Drosophila melanogaster: one gene and its partners. Changing the gene in region 1 together with any one later gene gives a genetic interaction. Each region holds a gene or a part of one and is shown on either strand. Other genes may lie near its edges. The genes, in order: brk, shn and ey.

Region 1 (10,370 bases):
TCTGGTCCTGATCTATAATTAGTTAACGCTTTTGCACCACTCGAAAATGATTTATTCGATTGTTATTTGTATCGTTTGTCTGGGCGCGTTTGCCGCAGCGAGTCCAAAAATAAACTGTACGTACATCTGATAAAAAGCCGATCCAAATTAAAATCAATTTTCTTATGAATTATTAGCGCAAATCGAATGTGGGGATTTTTTTTTTTTTTTAAGTCATTATGGGGTTAGCATTATCAGGAATCTGATGGATCCAAACGAACTGATGGCGCAACATTGATGGATACGTTCGCCAGTTCTGATTGATCAGGGATCTTAGGTGTTTATGGGCGCTGTACAATGTAGTGATTATAATAATTAATTTCTTGTAGGATCCGTTGGTCAAATGGTAGACAGAAGCCAAACGATTTATCCAACCCATTGGTACAGTTCACAACTGAAAGTACGAGTATTCATATAAGAGATTATGTCACGATTGTCGATGGGATCGCGCGAGATTCGTTCCTGTGATTACAACATCACACGGTGCGCAAAACTCGCTTGATCAATAACAAACAATATATAAGCGTATATATGTATGTATAGTGATATCTGCCAGAGACGATCGCCATCTGCAAAGTACTCGAGATTCGTGATTCGAGTCTCGGGACTCAGGTGAATTCTGCTGCTTTGCTATGTGCCAGTGTCTTCTTCCCCTATTTACTTTGTAAAACTTGGCTGGCTGCAAATCAAAATATATATATATATATATATTTTTTTTTTTTTTGTTACGTCCGAACGATCGAAATTTGTCACGTGGCATTAAAGGCAGCAACAAAAACCACATATTTTTGGATGGTAAAAGAAAAGCGAGCAAAAGTTTACACGGGGCAACGCGGTTCGAAGAAAATAGCACGAAAATAAATTGAAATTTAGCAATCATCTGCGGTCGCTCCTCCCACAGTTTCCCGGTACCAATGGACCCCACCTCGACATACATACATACGTACATATGTACGCTCCTCTTGGGGATTCTGGCCCCTGATCTTAGCCATTTTCGTCGTACCTTACCATAGTTTGTTTGGTGGTCCTATTTGTGGTTATTGGTTCTCATCCTTGCGTTTCTGATCTTTTCCATTGATTCTTCTCCATAGTTTCTAGTTTCAACTTCTTGAACACCTCTTATCTTTCATAGATTAAAGATTATATAACTGTACTGTTATAGACTAAGTAAACTTTGGTACTGTTGGTACTTCCTAATCTGATTTAGTGTTCCATTTCGTTGTGTTCTTTTGACTTTTGTGTTGATCTAGCTGTTGTCCACTCCTCCCGAATTGATTCCCCGTTCCTATTTCTTTTGTTCCTCATCCCTTCCACTTAACTACGTCCCTAGTTGGACTTGACTACGTGGGAACGATCACCTGAACGATCAAATCGCATAGATGCCAACAGTTCCGATCTGCCAGCACAGTCTCCACCCTTTTGTACACAGAGAAAAAAAAATGCGATGCAACAAATGTTGGCTAAGTGATAAGAACATTATGGTATACAAGAGAGTATACCTTGTTCATTTAATGGCAGCTAGTGTCTATGAATATTACTTTTCATAAAGTAGTGGAATATTTTTCGCCTTGTGCATGACTAGTGGGTATCCCGTGGGGTCTATTTTGTCCGCAAATGTCGCAAAAATTCTTTGGCAGCGATCGCTCGGATTTGCCTTTTGCTCTGCAGAAGGGAAAGCGCGTCAAGTGAAAAACAATGAGTATGCCGCTCTGTCTCAAGAACCGATCCCCCAAACCGATCCAATCCGATCCGATCCGATACGATACGATACGATAGCTGCCGTCTGTGGCAGTTGCGGTGGTGCTGATGCTGATGCTGATGCTAATGCTGATGTGGATGTGGCTGTGGATCGCAGTGGTGCTGAATGCTGCGGCTCGGGGCTCGTGATTGGCGCACACATTGGCAAACGAGAGCACTTTATTTTTAAACGTTTTAAAAATACGATCATTATAGAATTTGCGGCTTAGTCATACCCCGCCGTTGAAATGTGCCAAGCGAATTTGACCAGAAACCGAGTAGCTCGCGGAGGGCGGTGGGTGGTCTAGTCTGTGCGTAGGGGATGGGGGGGGGGGGGGGCAGGGGGCGTGGCACAGGCACTCGAAATGGAAAGCCCCAAAGCCTTAAGCTATGCCCTGACTTGAGTGACTGACTGACTGACTGACTGACAACCCATGAGTTGTCACAATGAGGCACGCAAATAACGCACACACATTTGAATGGCACATTCGGTATGATCGCAAAGATCAAACGGCGATCGGTTCTATAAATGGGGCCTTAACCTCACACTGACAGCTAAGAAGAATTGCGGAGCTAAAGGCAGGTCGATTTTTCTCGAATCTAGATTATCCCAATTGATGCGGCGGGGGTGTATTGATATTGATTTTTTTTTTTTTTGAACCCAGAAACCAAAAAAGATCTTATAGATAGATCCCTGAAATATTTGCAGTCATCTGAAAAGCAATGACTTCATTCGAAACCCAACGCAAATGCAATGATAAAACCAGTTTAATTTAAAGTTTTTTTAGTTTTCTGTTGTTAATTTAATCAATTCGTTTTCCTTTTGATTTTGTTGTTTGTTTGTTGTATGGTCACACAATTATTATTATTATTATTGTTGTTGTCAAATGTAATATATAAAAATACTGATTTTATATATATACATACATTTAGATATATATATCTCTTTCTCTATGTATAGGCGCATTTAATATTTCCCTTGGCAATGAAAAAAAAAAAAAAACGTTCTCCTCTTGTTTGTATATAAATATATTGTATATATGTATATTGTATATCATTATAATTAACTTTTAAATGTAACCCTTAATATTACGTTAAATTTCTTGCTCTCTTTTGTGTTTGTAAATATATATTTATGTATAATATAGCTGTATATTCAATAAGCTTCAGTTTTCAACAATTTTATTAAAATTTTGTTTTGTTGTTGTCATATCACAAGAATTTTCAATTTTCAATTTCCAAATAAAAAAAGTGTGTATTGTAAAGGTGTGTATTTGTTTCGTTTTTAAAGCTTTACTCTTAACAATTTTCTCAGTTTTTCCAGTTGCATTTTTCACATTTTCTCTCTTAAAATACTCTCCCACAAGTTATACAAATGAAATGAAGCGTTGAAATTCTTAAGCAAATTCAATTGTTTCGCCTTGTTTCACTTTTTGTACACAATTATTTACACAAGCTAATACAAGAAAAAAAAAAAGAAAAATCTGAACTTAAGCTTAATTTGTTCTTAGTGTGTAACCAAAAAAAAAAGAAGGGTTTATACCTAGGGTTTGGGGTTTTTTTTGCTGATATGCTTGGAAGATATATGTTTGCGCTTAGATATACAATTTTTTATTAAGGTAAACTTAGGTGGTAGGGCTAAAAAAAACGTTATTAAGCTTAAATATGGCTTAGGGAACTAAAAGGCCAGGCCCAGTGACTGCCATTATAACATCCGATTGGTGGGATTGCTGCTTCCTTAGTTTCTATTGTGTGTGTTGTTTGTTGTGTGTGTGTGTGTGTGTGTGTGTGTGTGTGTTCTTAGGCCACCAGGGTCAGGTTTGTGGGCGCAGTATCCGCCACGAGAATCAGTGGTCGGTTGACGGATGATGTCCTCGCAGTGGCCAAGGACTCCTGATCCAGCCAGCGCTGCAGGTGCTGCTGATGTTGCAGGTGATGCTGCTGTTGCTGCTGCTGCTGCTGCTGTTGCATGTACATCAGATTGTCGTTGTAGACGGCATGCAGCTGGAGATTGAGGCTGTAGTTGCTGCCGCTGTCGCTGTAGGTGGATGAGCTGCTCTCGTAACCGGAAACGGGCGATCCTTTGGGGCAACAGAAGCCGGTGGGCGAGAGGGCGGGCGCCGAGAATGGGCTGAGGGGCGTGGTGGCTTTGCTGGAGCTGCAGTTGTCCTGAAATTGCTGATTAGGACTCCCGCCGGCGACGGGAAATGTCTGCTGCTGTTGCATACTGGTGGGGCACTGAAAGCTGCTGGTGATCGAACTGCCGGGCGATACACAGCCACCGGGATACGGATGGTTGCTCCAGATGATGGGTTCCCTTTGTTCGTTGATTGCCGATGGCTTTTTCTTGAGGCGACGCTGTTTCTTGTCGGCCGCCTCCTTGGAGTCCACCTCATCATCGTCGGCATAGCGGGACTCTTCCTCGTCGTCCTGCTCCTCCTCGGCAGCTCCCTCATCCAAATCCTCCTGCCGATGGTGATGGTGATGATGATGATGATCCTGCTCCTCATCATCGTCCAGCAAATAGGGCTTAAATAGCTTGACCTGTTTAGAGGGCAGCTTGTGCTCCTCCGGCTGCTCCGTCTCCACGTCCACCTCCACATCCTCGTTCTCCGTTTCCGTTTCGGGCTCCTTCTTGATCACCTCCTCCAGCTTACTAATCTTATCCGGCTGCATCGGACTAGTGATGACCTTACGTTTGCGGAAAGTGAGATCCACACCAGATGGATCCTTTTCGTGCAACTGCATTTGACGGCGGGCAGAGGATCCGAGAGAGAGGTCCATGGGGGCTGGTGTGGCAACCGCCTCCAGTCGATTCTCCAAATAGCCATGCAGATTGTGATGGTAGGCAAAGGGCACATGTGGAATGTGACTGGCTGACGATGTGGACCCAGGGGATCCGCTCAGGATTGGCACTTGTATTGGCACTTGGTTGCTGTTGCAGCTATTGCTGCTGCTGCTGCTGTTGTGGCAACTACTGTTATTGCTGCTCGGCAATGTGTTGCTGCTGCTGCTGCTGCTGGCGGGGATTGTTGCTGTCGGTGTGGGATTGCCATTGCTGGTGGCCATGGCGGCGGCAACAACAGCGGCTATTTTGGCCGCCGAAAGGACATTCGAGGATCCCTGATTGCTGCCATTGGTAGCAATGGTTGCAGGTGTCTCCTGCTGTGACTGCTGCTGATCCTGTTGCTGCTGCTCCTGCTGCAACTGCTGCTGCTGCTGCTGTTGCTCCTTCTGATGCTGCATTTGAGGATGCATTGCCACCGGGACATGCAAGTGGGGATGGGCGGCCAGGGGGTGTGGAACCATGCCATTGGCTGCCAGCAAATGGTGGGCGGCATGATGGTGGGCTGCTGCTGCTGCTGCTGCCGCTGCTGCTGCCGCCGCTGCTGCTGCAGCGTGATGATGATGGGCGGCATGATGGTGGGCGGCATGATGATGATGATGACCCACCGCGGCGGCGTGATGGTGATGCAACTGGTGCACCAGCGGATGGCTCAGCTGATGGAACACCTTGACCGCCGGTGTCGGCGATACCGATTGCTGTGGGAGTAGTTGCTGCTGCTGCTGTTGTTGCTGCTGTTGCTGTTGCTGCTGCTGCTGCTGTTGCTGATTGTTGGCCACCGATGATCGCAAATTTGACTCGCATTGCAACCATTTTTGGATTTGCCGGCGGTGAATGTTGTATTTCCTGGCCGTGGCCCGTTGATTGCCCTTGCAATCATTATCATTCCTGTATGATTCGAGGACTTGCAGCTTAAAGTGGGGCGTGAAAATCCGACGACTTCCCATTTTGGGGCTGCCCGAAGAATTGCCATTATTTGTGTGGCTGTTTGTGGCATTCTCCGAAGAATCCTTGGGCCGCTTGAAATTCAAAGCTCCCGATCCGTTCAACTGTTCGCTGCTGCTATCCATGATTATGGTTTATTTTCGTGGCGTTCTTTAAAGATTGTTTTTATTTTCCCAAGATTCTGGTCAGTTTTGTGTGTATTTTTGTTGATTTTAATGTAGCGAAATAATAGTCAAACAAGTGTGTTTTGCAGTAGTAGTAGGTAGTAAGTTTTAGGTGCTTTTGTTGTAGCTGTTGTTGCTACTTGCGTGCGACGCTTGCGCTTTCATAACTCGCGATCTGGCAGCTCTGTCCCCAAAGCAGCGACGTCGACTGCGACGCGTCTCACATACACACACTGGCACACACTCGCTCTGATACTTTTTGGAGTTTATTTGAAAGCACTTTTCAAAATCCGTTTCAAATCTATATAGTTGTGTATATTTCGATTGGTATAGATCGGATAAATAAAACACAGTTAAAAAAAATATATGTCTGCGTGCTGTTGCTTCTTCTGCTCTTTTCCTTTTCTTGTTAGCTACTTCTCGTACGTTTTACTACGCTCTTCTCATAACTCGCGTTTGCGATCCGCACGGCAAGGAATCCAAAACACAATTGTTCTGCCCTCGGCGTTCTAGTTCGAAGATACGTTCTAGACTGCCTCGCCTCGGCCGGCGTCGCTGCCGGCGCCGCCGTCGACTGCGGTTCACTCTGAAATGCTCACGCACACAGGCGTAAAGTGCCTGCCTGTCTGCTGTGCGCTGCTGTTGTTGTTGCTGCTGTTCGTGTGGGTGTTCGTGTGCGTGCAGCAGTGGGAGAGAGAGTGAGAGGGGGAGCTAGAGAGCGAGCAACAGAGAGAGAGCGCATGGCGCTGAAGCTGAGCATTGCAGACAAACTGACGACAATCGTGTCGCGAGGTGTCTGCGCTTGCATGTGTGCGTGCTTGGAGTGCAAGTGCGAGCGGGATGCCATAATACCAGTTCCCTTTTGCGGCGCTTTTGTTGCTGCTGTGCCGTGCTGTGCTGAGTTGTGTGCACGGTGGGACCGAATGGACAACATGGGACGGAGCAACCCATTCCCCCGTCCCTGTGCGCCACAGTCTTTGTCCACTCTTTTCGATTGCCACAGTCACCCGACTGACTGACTAACTGACAAACACCGCGAACCGCACAGTGGGACCAATTCGTATGGCTTTTTTTTATATAAAAAATAAAAAAAATATTATATGATACCTAAAAACATGGAATAGAACAAATCAAAAGATAACATTTTTAACAGCGAGATAATATAACACATTTTCTTCTTCTTTAATAATTAAAAAACCCTTTATCAATTTATAGGCCATCGAGTCAATAAGTGAAACGCGTTTCAAATTCTTCTATCTCTAAAACATTGTTAGCTATCTGCCAACAACAGATTATTGTTTTAAACATAAACCCAAAGTCGACAAATGTTCGCACTACTTGGAAACCATTTTTAAATTCTGTTTACAAAAATTAGTTTTTTACATGTATTAGTAGGCCCACACTTAACCCTTTGCTGGCAGCTTTTTGTGCCACTGTGTCGCAGCACAGTTTGTTAGCGGCTGCGGTTGCTGTTGCCGTGTTGCGTTGTGTTGTTGTTTCTGGCTGCGCTACAAATTCGCTGGCTCTGCCAGTTGCTCATACAGATACACACACGCACACACACGTGTGCAAAAGGCACCTTTGAATGGTGTGCGTGTGTGCGCCAGAGTCGTGGCTGCCAGACATTCTGGCACTGCCACTCCACACGCCGCCCTCCCCCATACCCCTTCCACATCGGCCAGAGCCCCCCACCCCTTTTGACCCACACCCCTGTGCCCACGTCCCCCGTCAGCATACACACACACATCCGTAGAAACCGCGCAACAGATCGTCGAACGAACTTGTTGAGCGCCGCTCTCTCGCCAACCAAACCGCCCGCTCTCTCTCTTCCTTTTGCTCTCTCTTGAATCAACTGTTGAATGCATTGCTGCATTTTTTATATTTTTACACACACATAGAGCCAGACGAACACAGAGGTTTCCAACTATCTTGGTTTTTTTTTTACTCGTTGTTATGGCCGTGGGTGCATATATACCATATAGCTTTAGCTTATTTCTGTCGACGTTGCCGCCGTTCTGTCTAAGCTTAGAAAAATTGAAAAAATAAAACAATGCAACGAAAAAGAACTAAAAGGGCATGCAATAAGTGCAGCAACAATATGTGTACAAGAGAACCTCTCCGCACTTGTTGCAAATGACAAACCGAAATGCTGCCTCTGCTTCGTTACCAGCTTACTCTGCTTCTTCTGTTCTCCTGCCTCGGCAAAATCTGGATTCATGAATGAAACACACACACACACTGCCGCAGACACCTCGCTCTCTTTCGCTATTTGCATGCGTGTGTGGTTCTGTGTGTGCGTGATTTTTTTTTGTCGGAGACAGTGGGCTGCTTCGCTTGCGTGTGTATGCAAATTTATGAAAATAAAAATAGAAAAAATGACATAAAACAAATCAAATATATGGTGTTGTTGTTGAGCATCAATTTGCGCGTGCGGTATGGTAAGATGAAGTGGGAAAGGGAAAGGACTAGCGATCTTTGAGTCACCTATGTACCTCTTACAAAAAAAATAACAAAAACCAGCAAAAGAAAAAAAGCAACAACTATACATAGATATCTGGGGTTCAGATTCCCACGTCTCTGCTGCCCCCGCCCCACTGTACCCAATCCCAAACCGCCGCCCCCGCCACCGTCCCACTGTGCCCACGAATCAAAAGCCGACGACGGACTGTCTGGAAAGATCAAGGAAGCTGGAAAGGGACGGCAAGACAAGATGGAGCCTGCGAAGCGCCTGCACAAGAAAAAAAAGAAATACAACAAGCGGGAAGAACAGCGAGAAATAAACTTCGATGCACTGACAAAAAAGGGCTTAAAAGGAGCTCTAAAATCGGTAACGAACTTAAACCTAAAAACTAAACTAAACTAAAAAAAAAGTTAAGTTCCAAAGTAATAAATTGAAAAATTACTTAAAATTCAACAACTAAAAAGATTTAAAAACAATAGATATTACTAACAAATATCATACAATATTAATATTAAAAATTAATAGAAATTTTGAAAAAATCTGTAAGACGCCAAAGATAAAACCCTTTAAAAAAGGCGAGAGAAATACATTTTGGAATTGCATTTCCAAGTAAAGCGGCCACAAACAACCCAAAAATATGCCGAAAAAACGCACACACACTCGGCCCGAAAAATTCAAACGACAAAAAGTTCAAAAGCAACACACACACTGGCACAGAAAAATCAAAAGAATTCCACTTTTTTTTTTATTTAGACCCCGTCGGCTTCTAAATCGATTTATCAAAAACAAAACAAAAAAAAAGAAGCGGAAAAGACGAAGGCAAAGAGATAAAAATTGAATATAAAAAGGTAACGTAAAAATCGAAGAAACCTATACACACATCCACCCATACCCATGAATTGATTAAAAAGTTGAAGAAAAAAAAAAGAAGTATAAAAAAATTGGGAAAGGGAAAGGGCGCGGCAGCCGACGAAAAAGGAAAAGAAGGAGAACGACGTGCTGGGGCACTTATGATCTCCAATCTCGTCGAGAATGGGCAGGAGATGGAGGTGAAGACGGCGGTGGCGGAGACGGAAGACGAGTGGTAGGAGTAGAAGAACCTTAGGTTGCTTTTTTTCATCGACGCTGCCGCCGCGCTGTCTGCGTTTGAATAAGCCCACACAAACAAACAGACTAAAAATGAAACAAGGAGAGAGATGTGGCAAGGAGAGGAGAACGAGCGCTTGAAGACTGAAGAATCGCAAGATGGAGCCCCAAGAAGATGAAGCACAAATGCCAGGATACCGAAAACTATACCAATCTAAACTCTTGAAAGATATGACGCTTTGCGTATCCTAGCATTAAAAAGATCATCTTGTAATCTATGTTCAGGATATAGTCGGAAGGAAAGAAATTCTGGATATTGTCCTTTGAATGTGTTCAGGATACGATCGAAAGTTCAAAGTTTGTGCTCTTAACTATTATTTTTGGACAGTCTTCTATCTTCCCAAGAAATCGTATGACATCTCTTGTGGTTTATACCCACACCTTGTGCACCTTCTTATGCATCTGCACCGAATTAAAATAAGAAAAAAAACAAACTGTAAATTCCTCAACTATGAAGGCAGGCATACTCATTTAGCCTATGACTAAACGGAAAGAGAACAAAAAATATAGGTACATATGAGTCTTATCAGGTGATAAGATCAAACAAAGGCGATCCAAGTGCCAAGTTCTATTTGTCGGCCAATAAAAGTCGATTCTGTAAACAATTTTCGACGCAATGGGGCTCGAGCAATTACAAAGTGCACTATATATATATGTATGTAGTGGCATCCACAATCGGAATCGTGAATACACGGGGTATTTATTTATGTGTATATGTATGTATGTATATATGTACGGCCGCACACTCATGTCGGCACTATCTATCCGAACACGTAGTGCCCCCGGGTTATCGGTTGGGGGCCCCTGCTGCAATCTCTTCGCCACTGACCACTTCGGTATCTTTATGGGGCTTTGGGGGTACGTCACCCCTCGAATAAACCCTATTCGCCAGTGCCCCCACCGATCCCACGTGGGTCGATCACGTTTCGGGCGGCGAACAAAAACTAGATCCAGGAAAACATTGTACAAGTGCTAAATTATATCAGTTGAAGGCCTAAATGATATAGTATGTACGTACGAATAGTTGTTGCAA
Region 2 (10,370 bases), on another chromosome or scaffold:
GTTTAATGTTCGCCTTTCTGTGGCAACGTCATCATCCCCATAACCAACACCACCACCACCCCCAACGCCCCATCTTCGGCGTCATCATCATCGTTCAATGTTCGTTTTATTGTGGTGAAGTGCTGCTGGCGTCGACGGCGACGCCGGCTTCTCTGCTGCCAGCTGCCCCACAAAATATACAAAAACAAAAAAAAGAAAAAAGCAGTGGCTGAAAAAAAAAAGAATCCAATGTGCGCCCGCAAAAGCAAATAAAACTTTATCATTTGGGGAAGCCCTGCGCTTTCATAGACTTGCCTTGAATGTGTGGGTGGTGTGCATGTATTTGGGTGATGAAGAGGCTTGCCAGCACACTCACACACACACACACACACGCACATGAGTTCTGCCTTGTTTTTCCCTTCTTTTTTTTTGCCAGCTGCCAACTTTTCCCTTAATTTCTTGTTTTTATTTTTTTTTTGCTGTTTGCCATTGCCCTGCAAATACATACGTTTGTTTGTAAGTATGTACGTTTTTCGTTCGGTGTGCCAGGTCCTTTTGCTACAGGTATGGGGTTTTATTTTTGCTCAAACTCATAGGTAAAGTTGGGCCCTGGATTTCAGTTCACGTTTATTTATTTCCCTTTTTATTTTCGCTGCTTTCCTTGTTTTCCTTCCCGTTTTTTTGTAATTTTTTGGTTCTTTTTGTTGCCCTCCCCGCTGCCATGACCTTTTTAGTGGTCGAGAGGGGGCGGTGACAGAAGAGAGAATTTTCTGGGCGTGGCCTAAAAGGCGTCCCAGGAAAAGTTGAAGTGTAGTGTTTGTTTACGGCTATGATATGGCCCAAAAAAGAAGGGGCTAACCAATTTGGCAGATTGGGTAAACTGTGACTCAGGAAATTGTATTCGTTTAGGGATTGTTGCCTGATTTTTGTAAATTGTATTGGATTAAGCCAGGTTAGTAAATAACTATACCATAAAAGCTATAATGTTAAGTTCATGAATCATTTAATAATTAATAAGGATAATAATCTTTAAACACAAAGGAATCAATCTATTGAAACGATTTCAATTTGAAGCCAAATAGAGCTTTCCCTTCTAACCCAACCAGTTAATCCCGAGCTACAAACGGAATCAGAGCAATCATCAAATGGATATGGGCTTCGTTTAGGCCACACCTAGACCTACATAGGCAGTTACTAGCTAGCACTTGAGAGGACTCCAAACACGAAGCCCACGCCCTGCATCACTTCCTTCCTGGCTGCCATAATGAAAAGCAACCCCTCTTGAATGGCAAAAACTACGCAAACTAAAGGCTTTTCTTTTTCATTCGAAAAGGAAAATGGAATGCGAACGGGCCAAGCAAAGTTGCCAAAGGGAAACAGAAACAAAGGTAGCGATGGAATGAAAATACTCTCAAATAAAAGTGCGGGGAAATGCCAGCCGCAGGGAGTGGGTGGGATTTCCTCACCCAACTCCATTTCCATTTCCATTTCCATTCCCTGGTCTCTAGTCCCCCGCCATAAATTATCCGCACAATGGCCCAGAGCCAAGGCAAAAGGCAATGCGAGTACGGTTCCGAGAACCCTGAGCAAAGTCTATTTTAATTTTGACGTCGTTAGACGAAGGCGAAAAGAGATTACGGCCAACTCGCTGGCAACGCAAAGGCAAAGTCAAAGACAAAGACAAAGCCAAAGCCAGCTTAAGTGTTTCGGCCCAGCTACCCAACCTCAAAGATCAAACTCAAACTCAAAACCCAAACCCATACCCATTCCTATTCCCATTCCCCCAACCATACTCAAACCCATACCCAAAGTCGTCTGCATACCAAAACCAAAACCCATCGGCAGCTGGAAGTCAAGTTGGAGCCAAACTCTTTGAGCATGTTGCGCCTGCTACAGTGGGTACTCCATGGAAGGACGACTTTCATGTTAAAGGTTTGATGATTTTGAAATATATTTAAGAAGTATTTCAAATAATCTCTCTCCAAGTTGCCAAGTATTTTCAATTGGTCATGGTTTACAAAACAAAATGGTTGAGTTAAAGTCTCAACAACATTGTTTAAAAAGTTAAGTTGTTATTATTGTTATTAAAACAATAATATTTCGAATATAAATATTTATAACATTTCAGCATAATTGGTTTAAAATGCTATAAAATAGTTTTAATATATTTATTTAAGAATGTTATATTTAATTACTGGTTTATTGTTTCAAAAGGCGAAATAAAACGCTCACGTTGTGACATATTAATTAAATCAAGTTCAATAAAAAAAAAGTGATTGATCGGATTGAATATATTCAATTACTGGTTGCCTAGTCGGTTTGGTTTTGAAATGAAAAGTAAATTCATTTAAAGCATTTAGCTGCAGCTGATGGAATGCGCACTGTATCCGCCCAGCGAGCAGTACTTGGCATATATCAAAAGCCAGGCAGCACACTTGTATCTCATTTGGCAAAAGTATCTGCGGATGTCGCGGGTTGGGGCGGGCACAAGAAAGTATCTGGCTTTTTAATAGGTTCAAATTGTGGCATGAGTAACGCAGCGCACAGAGCAACTTGACTAACAGGCGGCGTGACGTGACGCAAAGTATCTCGGCTATAGCGATTGTGGATGTGCAAGTCGAGTATCTGTGACTGTGCGCCTTTTGTATCTGTATCTTTGTATCTGCGTATCTGTGAGCTAGGCTGCCTGTTGAGCGGGTGAGCTGCGCCAAAAGTTCATGACGCTGGCTGAGCTTGATTTTCAGACCATTTTACATGGGGCAATTCCGATTGCGACTGGCTGGCAAACAAGCTGCCTTGTTTGCGTCTGTTTTTACGTTTTTTTTTTCTTCTGTTTTTCAGCTTCTCTGCTTTTCACCCGCTTTCTGTTTTCCTTTATTTCAGCTCTCTGTTTTTCCCCCTTTCTTTTGCCCATTTCGTTTGTGTTTTTGTTTTGTTTGCCGCTGCCCTGTGAGTGTGCGTTTGTTTGTGTGCCTGTTTGTTTGTTTGCCTTTTGTGTGCGCTGGGGGATTACGTAAGGGAATCCCCAACATTTTGCAGCGCGCGCGCCAACGCAACTGAATTAAAATGATAAGGGGACTGTGGGTGGTTGGGCGTGGGCGCAATGCAATGAAAAGTGACTACTGACGCTGTTGTTTCATGTTTTATGCATGCCCTCCCTCTCTTTGCTCTCGCCCCGTCCCTCTCTCTCTCTCTCTCTCTTGCGAGTGGAGCACTCATGGCACACAAATAATAATGCAAAAAAATATATATCTTATAGATACAGCCAGAGGTTTCGAGTGGGGGCGTGGCTGAATACTACATACATTCTTAATTACATATTTTTCCCTTTGAGCCGCCAAGAAAAAATCACTGCACTTGACGAGATTCTTTGAAGCTCTGAAGCAAGGACTTACTGTCTTGCCATATGGCAGCTGTGAAACTCGTCGTCCTTGAGCTGAAGCCCAATTTTTTTAAGACCGCTGGAGTTCTTTTAATAATCAACAAACTACTTGGAGTGAATTTGTTATCAAGAACAAAGCAGTCAAAGTTCGATCTTATAATAGAACCACTAAATATAAAGATTCCAAAGAAAAGTCAGCATAGAAATTGTGGATATTGGGTCCCTTTTCCTTGTAAACACTTTATGGAAACGTTTGCAAAATAGCTTAAAATCCTTGAGAAGAGGCAATTTCCCGGAATTTCGCTGGCATATTTTCGAACTCACGCTTGATTTGAATAATTAACAGGAAAATGTACTTACTGCCTCGACCGCTGCCCTTGCGTCGCGCCATTTTCCCTGCTTCAAAGTTGGTGTCCCGTTTTGGCGCTGTCCGCTGTCCGCTGTCCCGTTGTCCTTTTGCACAGAACAATACTGCTGGAAATTAGGATCCTTGCGCTTGACTGATGTATATTTAATCAGAGGCCGCCTACCCGCTGGCACGCCCACTTGCGACACTGGTTCTGGTCTGTTTGTATGGCACAACAGCAACAAAGCTTGTACGTGTGTCGACGTCCTTGACGCACACAATGACAAGCGTCCTTGTTTGTCTGAGCGTATGAGCGCGCGCGTGTGTGTGTGTTTGTGTGTGTAAGCGAGTGTATGGGTGTGTGTGTGTGTGGCCTGGTTCCCGGTTCGCTGGTATTTGCCAACTAGACAAATAGAGGAGCCATGATGTCCAAGTCCCTGGTATTATCCTGATATGCCGCTTGCCTGTCGACCTGGTGGAGATTGCAACCCGCTGGCTGGCATCGCTGCTATCCTGCCCAAGTCTCAGTATCCTTGGTTGCTGTAATTGTGCTATATAAATCCATGTAGGCGTATCCTCTGCTCGCTGTGTAAAAAAAACCTCAATTCGGAAATGTTCGGTTTGATATGCCGTTCCTTATTTTTGTTGTGGTAGGTTTTGTTTGATTTGTATTACTTTTGACAGACCCTGCGTATACGCAATATTCGCAACTAAATCGCGCGCGCCGCGAATTCTTTCAGTTTTATGTGCTGCGTGTGTGTATGTATGTACACTCCTTATCAACACTGTTTCATCCGAGGGCCTCACTTTATTTCATATATATTATATATCTCTTTCGAAATATGCGCTATATGGCTGTTGCGGAATCTATTAATAAAACGGACATGTTATTCACCATGCGTTGCGATTTGACTTGATTTGATTTCGTTGCTGGCTTTTTTGCGCATTTACCGAGAAGTGCGAGAAGCGCGCGAAAACGAGAGGCGTGCGTCGACGTCGGCGTTCACGGACAAACAGAGCCAGCGAGAATCCGTTAGGCCCCCAAAAGCCAAAGCCAAAGCCAAAAGCCCGAACGCCAAGAGCACACCCAAAGTGAGCTCTCTTTTGGCGCACAAATGAGAGAGCCAAAGAGCGACGTAAGTGGCTTTCAATTCGACCAGCCGTTTCGTTTCAATCGAAAATCGCCTTTCAACTTGTCTGTTTACCTTTTTTCTTTTCCCACTCACAGAGCAGCGAAGAGAGTTCGCTAAGAGAGTCGCCTTATCAGTATTGTGTGTGTGTGTGTGTGTCCAAAGCTTAAATGCCAATAGCAGGAGCTCCAGATGATAAGCGTTATTTACTTGGCTTACCTGCGCTGTGATAATACCTGGGTTGTCTGTTTTATCAGTTTGCTAATTTACATTTTTAAGATTATCCACACAATTGATAAAAAGGTAATACTTTTCTAAGCCTAAATGTATGCAATATCAAAAAACAACATGGTGCTTCAGTGGAAAAGCATTGATTTAGGCGATTTGATAAATTAATTATAAGGAGTTGCTAAAAATATAAACATGTCATTATAATATATTTTAATAATCATAAACTTGGTGGGACGAACACACAAACCTTATAAACTAGCTGCTGCAACTCGCAGCGAAAATAACGAAGATAAACATTTAATTCATGGTTTAAAAATTATTCTAAATTATAGATGAAGTTTGATTCTAAGATATGTACTCTGTTGAAACACATTTTAATTACTGCACATAGAATCGTATCCATTCCAATGATAGTAATGTTTCGACTTAATTTAATATTCATATGCATAAAAATAGCAAATTCGATGAATTAAATGAAGACGTTTAAATGAAGGCGTCCTATTCTTTGATACAGCCATTAATGTTTCCGATTCATTTAAGGCAGACACTTTGGGCCCAGTCGAAAGCTGTTCGAGCCGCAACGCCTCGTAACGCCTGGTGTCGAAAGGCTGAAATAATGCGGCTTCAAAGGAAATTAAGTGCTGGCGAAAATATGTACATATGTGAAGAAAAGAAGAACATATCGCAGAACATTGGCGATGGCGATGTCAAGTGGATGGGATTTTGGCTGACAGCTGTGAGAATTCCCAGCCAAAGTGACAAGTAAAAGGCGTGGCCTTGAGCCTCATTTGCCAGCCCCAAAACGCCAACGGCCGCCCTTCAATTTAAATTCATATGGGAAGATATACGATGTTTGGCCTAAACGACTTTCAATAAATGTGGTTTGTTTCTTTTAAGAATTTTCACAAATCATTGATATTTATTAGAGCCGCACGCGTGACCACCCTAATCACATCACTCATCCTTATGTTCAGAGTTAACCCCCCTGCACCCCCCCCCCCCTGTGTTATACTATGCTCCATCGTCAATGAAAACGAATATATGTACTATGTTCGAACAGCTGTTCTTTGTTTACAATTGGCGCAGGCGCCCAATTGGAAATTGTTCGTGTGCGTGTGTATGTTCGCCCGGCTAGAAGGCCTTCCAGTTCCAGTGCGAAAGCAGTTCGAAACTGGAAGCTGGAAGGAGGGGAAATTCGTGGTGCCGAACACTTTGGCGCCAAATGAAAAACGTCCGTCGGAATTTCACTTGCAGTCGGAAAATAACAGAGCGCGTGAAAGGATCACAGTGCGGATCAAACAGACCGGTCTGTTGAAAAGTCAGGGAAATCCAGTTGAAAAACGAAAGTAACAAAATTGAAGAAAAAAAAAAAATTATTTACAAGCTGCCTCATAAAAATTCCACACATCGTTTCAAAAAAGTGTGTTTGCTACATACTTCTATTCTTCTATCTAAACAGAACCATTCCAACCAAATAAGCCAGCAAAAGAAATAAAACGCAAATGTGAGTGCCATAAAAATAATGTTCAATTATCACCAAATTTAAATATCATCAATTTTAATTTCCATAAAATGAACAAAAGAAACCGCAACGGGTGTCTGAATGAAAAACTGGCGCAAAAAAAAAGAAATATTATTCATACCTTCAATTTGAGTGGAAAAGGGTTTCAGAAATATGTTGTTTTATTTGATATTAAAAGAGTTTTTTTTTCCTGGGAATCTATTTAATTTGATTGATGATTGTTCGTTTGATGTTACTAATTATTTTTACGCCTTTGTTCTCAAATATGACATTAATTTGTATATTGTAATTTTTGTATCGGAATTCTTTTAGGTTGGTAAACAAAATAATTCAGTTCAATGACGAAATTTTTTCGTAACCTTTTATCTTTGGTTACTGGGGTGAAACAAAAGGGTAAATAGCGTATAATTTGAATATAGGACGGCTTTTTATTTAATTCCACGATTTCATTGTACTGCGATTTGGTTTCAGGCTATTTTGTATTGTATGATCTTGAATTTGTGAAATGGCAAGGTATCTTTCATTATGGAAATTTGGCAAAAAGATAAAGGAAACATTTTAATATTCAGCTCTGTATTTTGCAAAAATAATTATTACGTTTTATTACGTTTACGGTGGCCCAAAAATCATTTGATTTTAATAATTATAATAGACGTTTTTGAACTTCCAGCGCTGCGAATGAACAAGCATTATTTTCCCTTATCCCATTGATTAAAAGTAGTAAAATAGGAAATTCATTGTTCGCCATGACCTTTTATGTTTCGGTAAATGGCGGTAAACTATTCTAGTTCCGTATTTCGGACCACACAAAAATGGCTGCTGTTAAATGTTCTGTATTTAATTGATCATATGCATAACGAATGGCGTTCCCGAGGAGTCTGAATGCGATGCCCCCGGCTAAGTTTGGCTTTCTTTGTGTGCGTGTGTGTGTGTGTGTGTGTGGGTGTAGTACTTGACCACGCTTTGGGCCAAATGGGAATTCGGGCGAACACAAAATATCAATCTGAAAGCGGAAATCCTACCACAATAGGAAATTGATGTCCAACCGCATCAGCCAACGCAAACCCGTCCAAAAACCCAAGCCGCACTCAACAGGATGAAACGAGCACATGGATCACACTCAATGTGGCTGCCGCTTGTGGAATGCTTAAGTTTTATTTATGTATGTCGGTTGCAAAACTTGCGGCGCCGACATTGTGGGCACATCAAAAGCAACACGCTCGGGACATAAAAGAATAAATTAAACGTAGATGAAAAATTGGTAAAAAAAAAAACCACACAATTCGGTAGTGGAAATGGTCTTCCTTTCTGCCACACACAATGGCGCCAGCCATTCCATTCCATACTGAAAATCATTGAGACACCAGCATGAGGTGACATCCCTGTTGGATGTTTTTTAATAAGTCGAGCCTTGCGGCACGCCATGTGGCATTTTAATGTTGCATAATAAAAGCAGAACTGGCCTGGAAGCTCTGTTGTCCATCCAGCGACTTCATTATCGTCAATTACCAAGGGGCATAGTCTAAATTAAATAAGTAATGCTTGCATGAGATGCTCTCACTTACGAAAAACTCTCTGGCCAAACAATGCTGCCTTTCGCCCACATAAATCCCAATTTATGTGCCTTAAATTCGGGCATTAGACTTTGGGACAGGGGTGCAATTTATGACGACAGTGGCCCGAAGTTAATTAACCAGGCCACAAGGACTTCAACTGCTGTCGGTTAGGTTCAATGATTGGTTTCCGTCAACGAATCTTTCGCAACGAACAAAGGCCATCGAAGGGATTTGTCTCATTAGTGGCCATCCCGCTGGGCAAGCCACCAAATTTCCACGACTACACGATTGACAGCAGTGAGTAATCAGTTTTAGCGCTACGAACATGGCATTGCATAAATATTGGGCCACCGACAAGTAATCAAGTAATATAAGCCTTTATAATGGAACTAAATAAATCAAATGTTAATGGTTAGGTTGAGAAATATAAACGCTCATTCATGGCTAAAAAGTTAGAGTTGAGCATTTCGCACATGTTTTAAACAGCAAGCCATTTCGAATAATTTCGTCAAGTTGAAATAATCCACAGATGAAACGAAAAAACACCTAATGCGATTGCTTTGATTTCGTGTAATCGATCCTCTTGATGAAGAGAAAACCTCCCTCTTTGCATGAAAGCAGAATTAAATGCCACAAAGACAACCGCCAATCCCAATTTAATGCTGCATTTGTGAAAATCATAAAAAAATGTAGAGCAGTGGGAATGTTCCGATATTGTTCCGGTACCAGTTAAATAAATAACTTCTCTGCCCTTCTGAGAAACACTTAGCATCTCCTACCGTTCTCGCATTATTGATACGGCTGGTTGCTTTTCAACAAGACGTTGAGTGCAAAAAGTAAACAATAAACAATTTTCGAGGTTTTCGGCAGATGTCTGTGTACATAAGAGCCAGCAGCCACCCACCAACCACTCAATTTTCCCACTAGGCATCCACAAACGGTACGAAAACATAGTCGCGCATATATCTCACGAGATTTTTTCATGGTTTTCCCCAAAGCGTGGCGCTTTTTCCTGGCATTTTTTGTTCCGTCTCTCCGTTGCTATTTTTTTTTTTTGCTTTTGAGTTTGCTTTAAGGTTGAAGGTTAATTTATAAATATGTCGAAAGATTTGGCATTGTTGGACCAGCCAATTTACCTGAGTCAGAAACCAAAAAAAATCAAAACAATACCGCCAAAAACAAATTAATGTTCCTTAATGATTCGAACTGTTAATACCTACTATTTGGCAAAAATACCTGCATTTTCGAGTTGGATGAAAATTTCACAAATAGAAAAATACTTCTTATTTAAATGGAACTGCCTTCATAAAATGTTTGAACAATATGCCATACCATAATGTCTGTAACAAAGCTTTTTCTTTAGATTTTGTTATTTGAATTTATATATCTTATTTTTCTTTTTCCCAAGTAGTTCATACAATTCCTTGAAATTGACATGCACACCGCTCCTTTCTCGCAGCTTTTAAAAAATTCAAACGCAAAAGTGGCTTGTTTTAGCACCCCATTTCAGAGCAGCAATTTTATTTATTGTGCACTTTGGGTGCTCACCTTTTGGCGAAGGGCTTCAGGTTTTGGCTTTTGAACTTTTTGTATCGCATTTATTTGTTGTTCTTGCCGTTTTCACTTAATTCAATTGTTGTTCTTCTTTTTTTTTCACCAATGAATATTTGCTGTTTTATTGGTGCGTGGCATTCATTAGCATTGAATGTCTAGCCGTCTGAAGTTTTGCCTATAAATTGTCTAATGGGGCCAGTGGGCATTGATAATTGTACTTTATGTCGAGGGGACGACTCCTGCCAAATTTGCCTTTCCTCAAATGGCAAATTCATTGCAAATAGGTGGAGTCGAAGAGAGAGAGAGAGAGAGAGAGATTGAAAGTCAAGTGTTTGCCTGCCCGCAAAAAGGACATTACCAAGTGGTCATTACTCAGCACAAATATTAAATGATAAAAACTTGACCATTTCGCCCTCGTCAATTGGCTTATTTTCCGCATCTCAGTGAATTGACTTTTCAGCTTGGCCCGTCCGTCTCTTCATTCATAGCAAGCATTTCGTTCATTCGTTTGCCAAAATCCCCCCTCGAATTAGGGCCAATGCCATTTTGCCATTTATACGGTTTCATTGCGTATACGCAGTGTGAGCGTTAAAAGTTTTTCAAGACCCAAATCACATTGAATGGCTGTCATCGTGGCATTACTCAAAACTCGACCAAACAAAAAGGTTCA
Region 3 (10,370 bases), on another chromosome or scaffold:
ATAGTACTGTACCTTAAAAATAACTAAAATAAAAATAAAAAGTTTGACTAAGTTTTGCTGCATTTTAATACATTTATTTTACTCTGGACAATAAGTCATCTTGTAGATTTTCTTGATATTTTAAGGGACAAATATGTCATGTATTCGTCAACCAATTCGAAAGTTCGAAAAAGTTCCAACCATTTTATTGTTTTCGATTCCAAAGATAGCAAACATCTTTAATGTGTATTTAATAAAAGTACGAAGAAGAGCACAAAGGGAAAAGCTAAAAGGCTAAATGGGCACACTCGTCGCTCAGGTCGAGCATAAAAATGGAAGGGTTTTATACAAATTTCCGAGTATTTGGACTTATAGAAATAAAATCCTAAAGTCTCCGTATCAATTTACCGCTTTATTGGAAAGAAAATCATCGGAGCAGCAGAAAAACATAGATACATGTACATACATACTTATACGTTCATATACTTATACCCGTTACTCATAGAATAAAAGGGTATACTAGATTCGTTGAACAGTATGTAACAGCAAAAATAAAATATAACCGAGTCAAGTTAGCGATGTCCGTCCGTCCGTATGAACGCCCCGATCTCGGTGAGTATGAAAGCTAGAGATGTGACATACATATTAGTCCTTGGCATTTTCCGTGTACACGATTGTGGCCAAATATTCCCACAATATTTACGGATGTCACGGTAACTTAAACACACAAAAAAAACATACAGATGCAAGAGAACTTTGCGACGACCACTCTAATGCCCACTCTTATATTTTCCTATTTTTTCGTTTTATTATTAGTTTTGCATATTTATATCGGTTTAACAAAATCGTTTTGTTTTGAAATTTCTTGTTAGCTGAAGCAGCAAAGTAGCGGGTATCTGATAGTCGAGAATTTCGACTATTGCTATTCCTTGTCTTAATCCGTTCATGTAAGCCATCATCTGACTTAGTTATAATCCAAATGATCTTTCTGTATTCAGAATCAAAGCGGAAAACCTCTGGCGAGCCCTTTTACCTTGATTTCAAACAAGTTAAGATTCCTACACAGATAATTCCAAACACTGTGTTTTGGATTCAATTGAGCGCCCCAACAAGTCATCTTTAACGTGAGATCGGCCTGAACACGTTCATATTATTCAGGAAAGCGGCCATGGCGAGAGTATTTGCGGTATTAGTGCAGGGACTCCGAAATTGGATTGCTTTTCAAAAATGTGATTTGCAGTGTGACAGGATACACAATTTACAAAAACATCTTGCCAGTGGGATTAATAATGTAATTGCTGCACAAATCCGATGGGAAGAAAGACAAAGCCCTGGAAACGGGAACTGGAGATGGACCCTCTAGGGGACTGGTCCATCCATTCAGGGGCAGGGACTGATTTTCCTCGCATGCGAAAATGGACAGAACAGCGGGGTGAGTCTACAAAGACCACGGATACAATGCCAATATGCGTCGGTTCCCGGCAGCCGCTAAAGAGGCTCATTTGGCATTTTTGAGTGCATTGTGTGTGTTTGTATTTACTCGACTTCGGCTTTCAGAGCCATTAATTGTTTCCATTTGTAGCGACTTTACACGAAACGGTCGTCGACAACGAACACACACTTCAAGATCATTAAAGCTGGAAAATTATTGTATTGATTCACGGGCACTACAATAGGGTGACCTGACAGAGAGTACTTAACAGCTCGACGGGCCCGGGATGAGGTTACGTTTAGAAAAGGGATTTGAGGAATGCCTATAATCTACTCCGCAATTCGTAAATTATTGTTTGACTCATCACCGTCTTGAAAGTCTATGCCGATCCCAATTGTCACCGATGATCACCTCTACCCATTGTGCCACTATAATTGGCAGCATGTGCGAGATTTGGAGTCAGCTACTGAACAATGCCATTCCATTCAGCTGTATGCTTTGGGCTTACCCAGACATTGAGCTGTTTTCACACCAATAACAAATCTTCGTGACACATGTTTAGCAATACAAAAAAATTAGCGCGATGTCTTCATACAAGTATTTTGAAATGTTTCCTTAATCTTCTCGGGTCGAGCTATGAAATAGGTATACCTAGTGATTTTGCAGTGGAAAATTATAATAAATTGGAAATACTATAATTATTCACCTCATCCTATATCAGTAAAAGAGCTGTTCTTTAAGTCTTAATATAACTGGATAAAACATTTAGGTTTTTTAGTTTCCGATATCTAATCGCGTATACGGACGAACATTCTGATCAAGAATGTAAATACTTTATTGGTTCGGAAAATCCACCTTCTTCGTGTTACACACTTTTTCTCTAAAAGTGAATTGTATATCTATAAACTAAGGTTCGTCGTACGGTAAAACCATTTCTGTTGTTATTAAAAAGCTTTTGATAATATAACGAATAACAAGCTCTTAATTTATAATACTTGCGGTGTATTAATAGATGTTAGAAATAAATAAAGTGAACTATGAATACAAAAATGTCCTTGGACATTTTCTGAACGCCAAACTACTCTCGGTAATGTTTTTAGAAACAGAACACCAAAGTCGATTTGAAGTTTATAGTAGCCCCCAACATAGGGCAGAATCAAAATACATATCTGTTATCTATCCTAACTGGTATTTAGTGCAAGAAACTGCGATTACACACTAAATTTGCAAAGCTTATGGATCGGTTAGACTCAATAAAATCTATTAATGGTGTATTCATATTTAGTTTATGTAAAGACGGTCTGTGTGTATAAATTTTAATCTATTGGTGAATGTGATATAATAGTATTATAATCGGGGCTATCTGAAATCGAGTGAAAGCGGGAGGGGTTTAGCTATGCGTTATTTATTAAAACGTACATTCATCATCGGTTAAATGGTAGTAAGTTGTGGCGAAGTATGAAGATGTCGAATGGGGATGTGACGCTGTGCTGGCTTCCACGGCTTCCATAGTAGGGGAAGGTTTCCCAGCAATACCGCCTAGTCCGCTACCACCAGCGGTACCCAAACAGGGTAAATTTCTCATTGCAATCACATTGTCTATAAAAAAGAAAATCAAAGGAGTAAAATTCGTATCAAGAAGTCAGTTTGTACTTGGAATTCATTTATAATAATAGTGGAATAGATCTTTAAATTTGAACCAACTTTGAACTTGCTTAAGTGTTTATAAAAATGTAACATATTTTAAGTACTAGTACTTGTAGAGTAAAAGGGTATACTAGATTCGTTCAAAAGTGTGTAACAGGTAGAAGGAAGCGTTTCGACCACATAAAGTATATATATTTTTGATCAGGATCAAAGCTAAGTCATTCTGGCCATGTCCGTCCGTATGAACGTCCAGATCTCATACAGAGGCATACAGAATACAGAATACCCACTCAAACGCACTAAAACCGCCCTAAACTGCCACACCCACACTTTCAAACCATTTTTAAATATTTTCTCATTTTATTCCCGCATATATATTTGCATTCCGTTTGCATTCCCACTAGCGAAGTGAAGGGTATCTGATAGTCGGAACTCGACTAAAGCATTCTCTTTTGTTTTATTTATTCTCTTTGTAATCTATCTATAATCTGAAATCTACTGCAAAAGTTGCCGAACACTCTGCAGATTTTTTGTCCTAGTCTCTAAAGAACATGCATTATTAAACACTCTGAATTCGGGAACTAAAATACTGCAAATTTTAAATTAGACCTGTGTTTGATCGAGAAACTCTACTATAACATTTTCTCTTATTTCAGTTAAGAAGTTGAGCCAGATTGCATAGGAATTAGAATTATTTCATTACATTGTTAGTTACATATTTTCTTACATATATCAGTTATATGTATTAATTAAATTCGGTATACTCTACTTTTTTTGGCAATATAAAATTTCAGGTCATAGTTCGATTCGAATTATTTTTTGTAATATATTATACCTGCAACGAATTGAAAAATCAGGATTACCTAATTGTTTTAATTAAACTGAAACCCAAAAACATAAGCTATGTATTTGGGTTATCATTTTATTGCGAGATAAAAGTGCAAAAAAATGTATTAAAAGTAATCAAACTAATTTCGATTTCAGCAGTAAGCCGCATAGTTTTAAACCTTGCAGGAAAAGACTTCGCAACTTGCGTGCAGAAGGTAGTCGTGAAGAATACAAACGGATAAATCATAGCTAGGTATACAACCAAATGGTTAAAGAATTCAACTAGAATATCACTTTTGACCTAAGCTATTACTTAAAAGAACTAGTTTAAAAAGTTCCCAGTATGAACGAATATATACCATAGACTACTTGGGCCGTTTATGGGGCTTTTAGAAGGAGGCGCTTAATCTTTTTCAGTTAGCGTTATGAGCTAAAACAGGAGAAAGAGAGCTATAGTCCGGTTTATTGACTATCAAATACCCGTAATTGGGCTGCATGTGTGAACGAGAAATTGCAATCTTTTGGCTCTTATAGTTCCTAAGAACTCGACGTCCATGCAGACGGACATGGCTAGACGGACATGGCTAGATTGACCGATTGACCATGATCAAGAATATATATACTTTAAATTTAAAAAATCTAATAACCCTTTAATCTATGAGTAACGAGTATACAAATTTGTATAAAACGAAAGAGTCAGCTAGTATGAAGTACTCAATAATCATATACGCGCGGGATAGCATGAGATACGCCCGTAGGAACGCCATTGATCATTAAACGCCTTTGCGTTGTAATTTACAATGTGAGTGAGTGACAATGGTTTAATATAAAATTAAGCTGCGTATGCATTACTGGAATTTGCATAATTCCTACTTATTTCGCTTCCAAAGGTCTCGACGTCAATACTGACGGACAGACATGCCAACGGTCATCGGAAAATCGACTAGCCGGGAACTCTTCCTTCCACTAACTACTTTAAATACAAATTAGCAACAAGCTACGGGTATAATACAAATATAGGTTTTTCGAATTATAAGAGTCACGGCGAAGATTTGAATATCTTTGATTTGGACAATTTATACGGAGTATAAAGCCGTCTTACTCTCGGGAGTTTGAGTTTGAGAGAAGAGTTCGCAAACGATTCAGTTCAGAAGCTTTTTATCTATTGGTAAACTGCGCCAAAAGAGACCAACAGCCGAACGAAACTGCACTCGCCTAGTAGGACCGGATCAACTGCCCATGGGCAGCATTAACATATGTGTTGGCTAAGACTCATATATATTTATAAGAGGGTCGGATAAAGACGATGATGCCAATCAAGAAATTTAAAAAATTCACTTACCCTTGTGAGCCATGTCTTCTAAAGACGGCAGGCGCTCTATCAATGTTCCCGCTGACCATGGGGGAACCACGGTGCCTATAGCAGTTGGAGTTGGTTGCAATGTAAACATAGTTGGATCTCAGTTTTTATTACATGCACTGCTCATGAAAGCTTTAGCCAAGAGACTGCTGTGTTCAGCCAAACGCACGCCGTGCGAACTCTTGCAGGGCGAGTCAAGCAAGAGTTAAGAGTAAATTTGCGCAGATGGTGAGAATGACGTCCTGCAGTGATCAAAAAACCTATTGTTGATCGCGCCGTGAGGACCTAAGAGTTACGAATTCGGAAACACAAATATAACTGAGCAGCCGCTTTTGTTTTAGTTCACTTGTTCATTTTTCGAACGCCACTTTTGATTGCACTCATGTTAGCATCATATTTGTACTGCACGTAACACGTATTATTCCCGGGTCTACCGATTGCTAACTTAGCCGGTAATTTCATTTGATATAAAGATTAATACGCACGGTGAATCGAACAACCTTTCTTAAACTTCGCGACACGGCGGCGGAACAGTATTTACCTTAGAAGCGCAACACGAAATAATAATGTCACGACCTGCCTACCCGGATCCGTTTCAGAAACAGACTAGGCCGACCCTCGGCTGGCCAGCACCCCCCTGCGCAAAAGGCTGGGTTTGTTGCCACGGAACCGCGTGCGATTGGCAAAGACCAGCATGGCTGGTCCACTCACCACCATTTGCTATAGGCTAGCCCCATGATTGGTTGTTGAAGCACACCAGTTGTCCCTCTCGCACCCGTGTAAGGTTAGTTGGCGGAAGATGAAAGCGATTCGGCACGGTGCAGTTCTGCAGCTGCGTTGTGTCGTTAAGCATATCGTGGCAACGGAATCTGAAAATAAAGGAAGAACCAACTCTAGACGGACCAGCAGCACATAATGGAATGGTTTGGTCCTGAACAGACATGAAAGTGCTGGTCTGGAACTGGATGTTGTTCCTTCCAGCAAGAAACTGTGTGTAAACGGTGCAGCGCCTGCCGCTTTCACCGCCTTTCGAGAAGTCGCCCAGTGCCACACCCCCCCCCCCCCCAGCAATTACACACATGTTGCATTCCATTTGAATTCAAGCTGGCCAGACAAGTTGCCAGCAGCACACTCGTCCAATGGAATTGTTTCATTCCGATACAATAAGCGCTTCACATTTCCGTTAACTACCCGCACGTTTCCGCTTCGGCAGTGCGAGCCTACACACACAGCCATATCGAGGGGAGCTGGGTGTGGGCGTACGGTTGTTTAGTAAAATGTCGACAAGCCTAAGCACGGTCACACCCACCAGCCACCATCCCATAAGCTGTCGTCACATGTGGAGGCTGGGTGGGCCCCAAAGAGGAAGTTCCTGTCCTGCTTTTGCGCCGCACAGCGAGAGAACGAGTTGCCAATAGCCTGAAAGGGACGGCCAGTGTTATGGCTAAAAGGCCATGTTTCAAAATCCTCTAGAGAAATATTAAAAAACTATAGCGCACCTACACGACTGTATGGGATAATGTCGATTTAAGTGCAATTCACAAAATTCAACAGCAATATCCGGCCAATTTTTCTGTTTCCAATACAATTGGGCTCTCCAATGCGAAGAGTTCTTCTCACACGGTTTATAACGTCCTTATGACTTCTGAAAAGTGAAATGTAATAATAATGCATATTACTTCTAAGTCACTTCCAGAATGTTTTTAATGTACCCTTGCAATAGTTCTACATTGTATTTATAATATTTAATTTTGTTCTGTCGAAATTTGTAGCAAATCTGAAAGAATTGGGGTTGAAATATTTGACATATTTTAAAAACATTAGCAATCACTAAACAATTTAACCAAGCCCGTTGACATTTTTATGAATAAAATGCACGCACGATCGATATCTGAATATATGTGAGAATGTTAGGCGCGCAACTGTTCTAAATACTTAACTTACTGGGCGTTTCATTGACTATAAAATGTTTGAACTTACTTTCGCACATGTAATTTTTATTATTACAGGTAAGACTGAATCATTTTCATTTGATCCGATTGCCATATCCCTTTATAATATTCAAGATTTAATATGCACAGATTACATCATAAAACGCCTAAAGGTGGAGGAAACAAATGTTTTTATTAGGCTACATGGTAGCACATGAAAGTATGTCCCCCGCAGGAAGCTGAATCAGCCCTGCTATCATCATATTATCTTCGCACTGGTGCTGAGGATGGAACGCAGCCCAAGCAATCGCCACGTGGCACGTGCCAACGACACGGCACATGCTCGTGGAGCAAAAAGTTGTTCCGTTTCGGCTTAGTCTGCTTCAGATGCAGACCGCCTCCGAGGGTTTCGACACCCATATATTAATAATAGCAAGAATCGCCAATAAAAAACTCTTCGTTTGGAGATTGGCTAGGTCGTCGATTCAGTAAGTGATCGAGATCTGGAATACATGTACTTACATATATATGCTGTTAACGGGATGGAAGTCTGGGTAGGCGGGTATCAATAATACATTTGCGGGCAAAATGTCTCCAAGGGTATATTAAGATATAGGCACTATAGAGTTCTTTCTGACTGTTTTGTGAGTACCGCGATAACAAACATAGCATATGAGTAGAATCGGACAGATGGCTGGGTGGGCGAAAAGATTAGCTACAATAGTTATATAAAAGCATATGTATGTATTTACTTAATTCTCAATTCGCTCATTTGAGTACAAAATCTTATCTATCTGTTACCACCGTCAACGAAAATATCTGATATGAAATGTATTAAGTGGCCCTGTTAACAATATAACTGCCGCCTTTCCTTTTGCATATCTAGTAACGGGAACCTAAGAGTCGAGGAACTCAGCTATAGTATAGACTCTTGCTTAAAACTGACGTTTTTGGCCAAACAAGCTTTTTTCGGCTTAACGCGTAATGTTTTAATGAAAACGCGGCCCATAACGAGCTTTAGTATTTAGCTTATACAATTAAGAAGAAAGAAGGCTAATAGCTTCCCACTCACCAAAGAAACGACATACCACCTCTCCCATTTCTTCCACCACCACCAATTTAGATTTAAGATGATGAAAAATACCCAATCCAGATGGCTATTACATACAGCCAGTGTGTGTGCGGCAACAGTTGCTTTTGTGCTGACATAAAAAAGCGTCGTTCTTCTTATCGTCTGTCCGCAAGACTTCACACGGCCACGCAATGGTATTTAGGGGTGGGGAACGAGAAAAGGGGCGTCTAGCTGTTATATCGCCAAAGTTCGTAGAAAATTCAATAAGGACCTCCGCAAGTTAGTCCACAATCTGTCACAAGACTCAGTTTCTTGAGAAGAGTTTTAATTTGAACAAGGAAGGTCAAAACACCCTAGGTATAAAAAGTCAAGTCAAGCTATCCTTTTACAAAAAAAAAAAAGAGTTAAAGAATCTACGTAATATGTTATTTAATTTGTAAGTTTTAAAAAATATAAATGAAAGATTTTTATTTGGTTTTCGACTTGAAAAAATGCATTCATTTGAGAGCAGGGACTTTTGGCTCGTGATCGTAACCCTGAATATGTATAGACTATAGGGTCGACCATGTAATTTAAGCAGTTACTAAATGATTTACTGCTGATCTTCAATGTGACATTGACCATGAAATATAGATATATTTTTCACGAAATTTGCTTAATCCGTAATAAAACGCTACAATTATCACTTGAAATTACTAGCTAGCACGAACGTATAAAAGGTCCCCCGCTGGGAATTCAAATAACGAGCCATTAAACAATTAAGGCAGCCCCAGACACGGCTCACTGAAAACCGAACCATACCCGGCCTGGAGATGACCAGCGAAGCATTTGGCCAACCAACCAAATACAAACATGGAAAAGGCTTTTGGAAAGGGCCCAAGGGGAATCCCTAGAAGGCAAGCTTTTGGTGTGGGTGCTTCACGCTCACGGGGGGTTCACATACGCCCTTTCTGAAAGAGGCAGCCACTGTAAATATGCTTCAATTATTATGAACATTCCGTGTCCGCGCCTTTCGCGCCCGACCACCGACCACGCACACCCATTGCCTGAAGTTTCCGACTATCACTTAACTGGACGAAAAGTACTTCGAGTGACAATACCCTACAGGTGGTACTGTGTACAAAGCTCATTCGTAATTAAGGAAACCATGCTGAGCTTGAAACATTGGAGCCGTGATTTCATATTATTCCCCTTCAAGATAGAGGCACAGTGTTCTGTCGGAGTAACTAATAATAAATTCAATGCGATTTTCATAAAAAAAATATAAAATAAAAAATGTTTAAAAATTGCAACGTGTGGGCGTGACAGTTTTGGTATGTTTTTGGTATGCCAATAGAAATAAAGTAATAAAAAAAAACTTGGGTTGTTTGTGAGCGTAGCGACATCAAGAATCAAATGTCCGCTGTGTCCGCCTCTGGAATATGCATAAACAATCCCACCTCATACCTTTTATTGTTCCCGAGATTTCGATCTTCGTACGGAAGGATGATGTCCGTCCGACCAGAATATAGTAGCACGCTATAACGCTATATAGTGCAAGCGCCCTTCCTTCTTCCTGTTGCAGACAGTTCAACCAATCTAATGCGTATAATCAGAATATCTATACAATACGCAATGTGGAGTGTGTTCCTTTTGCTTTATACCCGTTACTCGTAAAGTTTAATTTTTGATATTTCTTAAAGTATTTCATAAAAGGTTAAACATTTAAATTGGTTACGATATCGCCTTTACGATTTAAGTTATTTTTTAGCACGCCACCTTTTTCCTCCTGGAACGAAAATTGATGTACACTCTTTGTATACGGTGTGATTAAATCGCATTAAATTCAACCGAGCGAAAGAGAAAGTCTTAAAATATTATCAGCGGATTAAAATCAAATTTAACAAAGTAAAGTGGTTGGAAGTTTTTGCTAGTGCCCAGTGGCCTTGCTCAGCCATATCAAGTGCTTCTCATCCATCCCGAGCGTAAATATAGCACAATTATAAAACTTGAAATAACTGCGTCCTTAACAGCGATAAATGTAAGCCCCTTACCCGTAGAGTGCCCAGCTAGACTATATTCTTTAAGTTCGCAATAGATAAAAAAAAGCGATTTTTTCTTTTTATTCACATATTTCACGAT

Evidence for each region.
Region 2: of brk (region 1) and shn, changing one suppresses a phenotype caused by changing the other (phenotypic suppression), as found in Drosophila melanogaster (3 studies listed by BioGRID).
Region 3: of brk (region 1) and ey, changing one suppresses a phenotype caused by changing the other (phenotypic suppression), as found in Drosophila melanogaster (one study listed by BioGRID).

What each region holds. Positions count from the first base shown.
Region 1 is NC_004354.4:7,303,794-7,314,163, reverse strand, and holds brk (brinker), read right to left. Parts: upstream 6,226-10,370; 5' UTR 5,692-6,225; coding exon 3,577-5,691; 3' UTR 3,032-3,576; downstream 1-3,031.
Region 2 is NT_033778.4:11,168,157-11,178,526, reverse strand, and holds the start of shn (schnurri), read right to left. Parts: upstream 4,725-10,370; 5' UTR 3,753-4,724; coding exon 3,722-3,752; intron 1-3,721.
Region 3 is NC_004353.4:700,132-710,501, reverse strand, and holds the start of ey (eyeless), read right to left. Parts: upstream 5,852-10,370; 5' UTR 5,338-5,851; coding exon 5,229-5,337; intron 3,074-5,228; exon of another isoform or gene 3,011-3,073; coding exon 2,831-3,010; intron 1-2,830. UniProt on the Drosophila melanogaster protein: Involved in eye morphogenesis.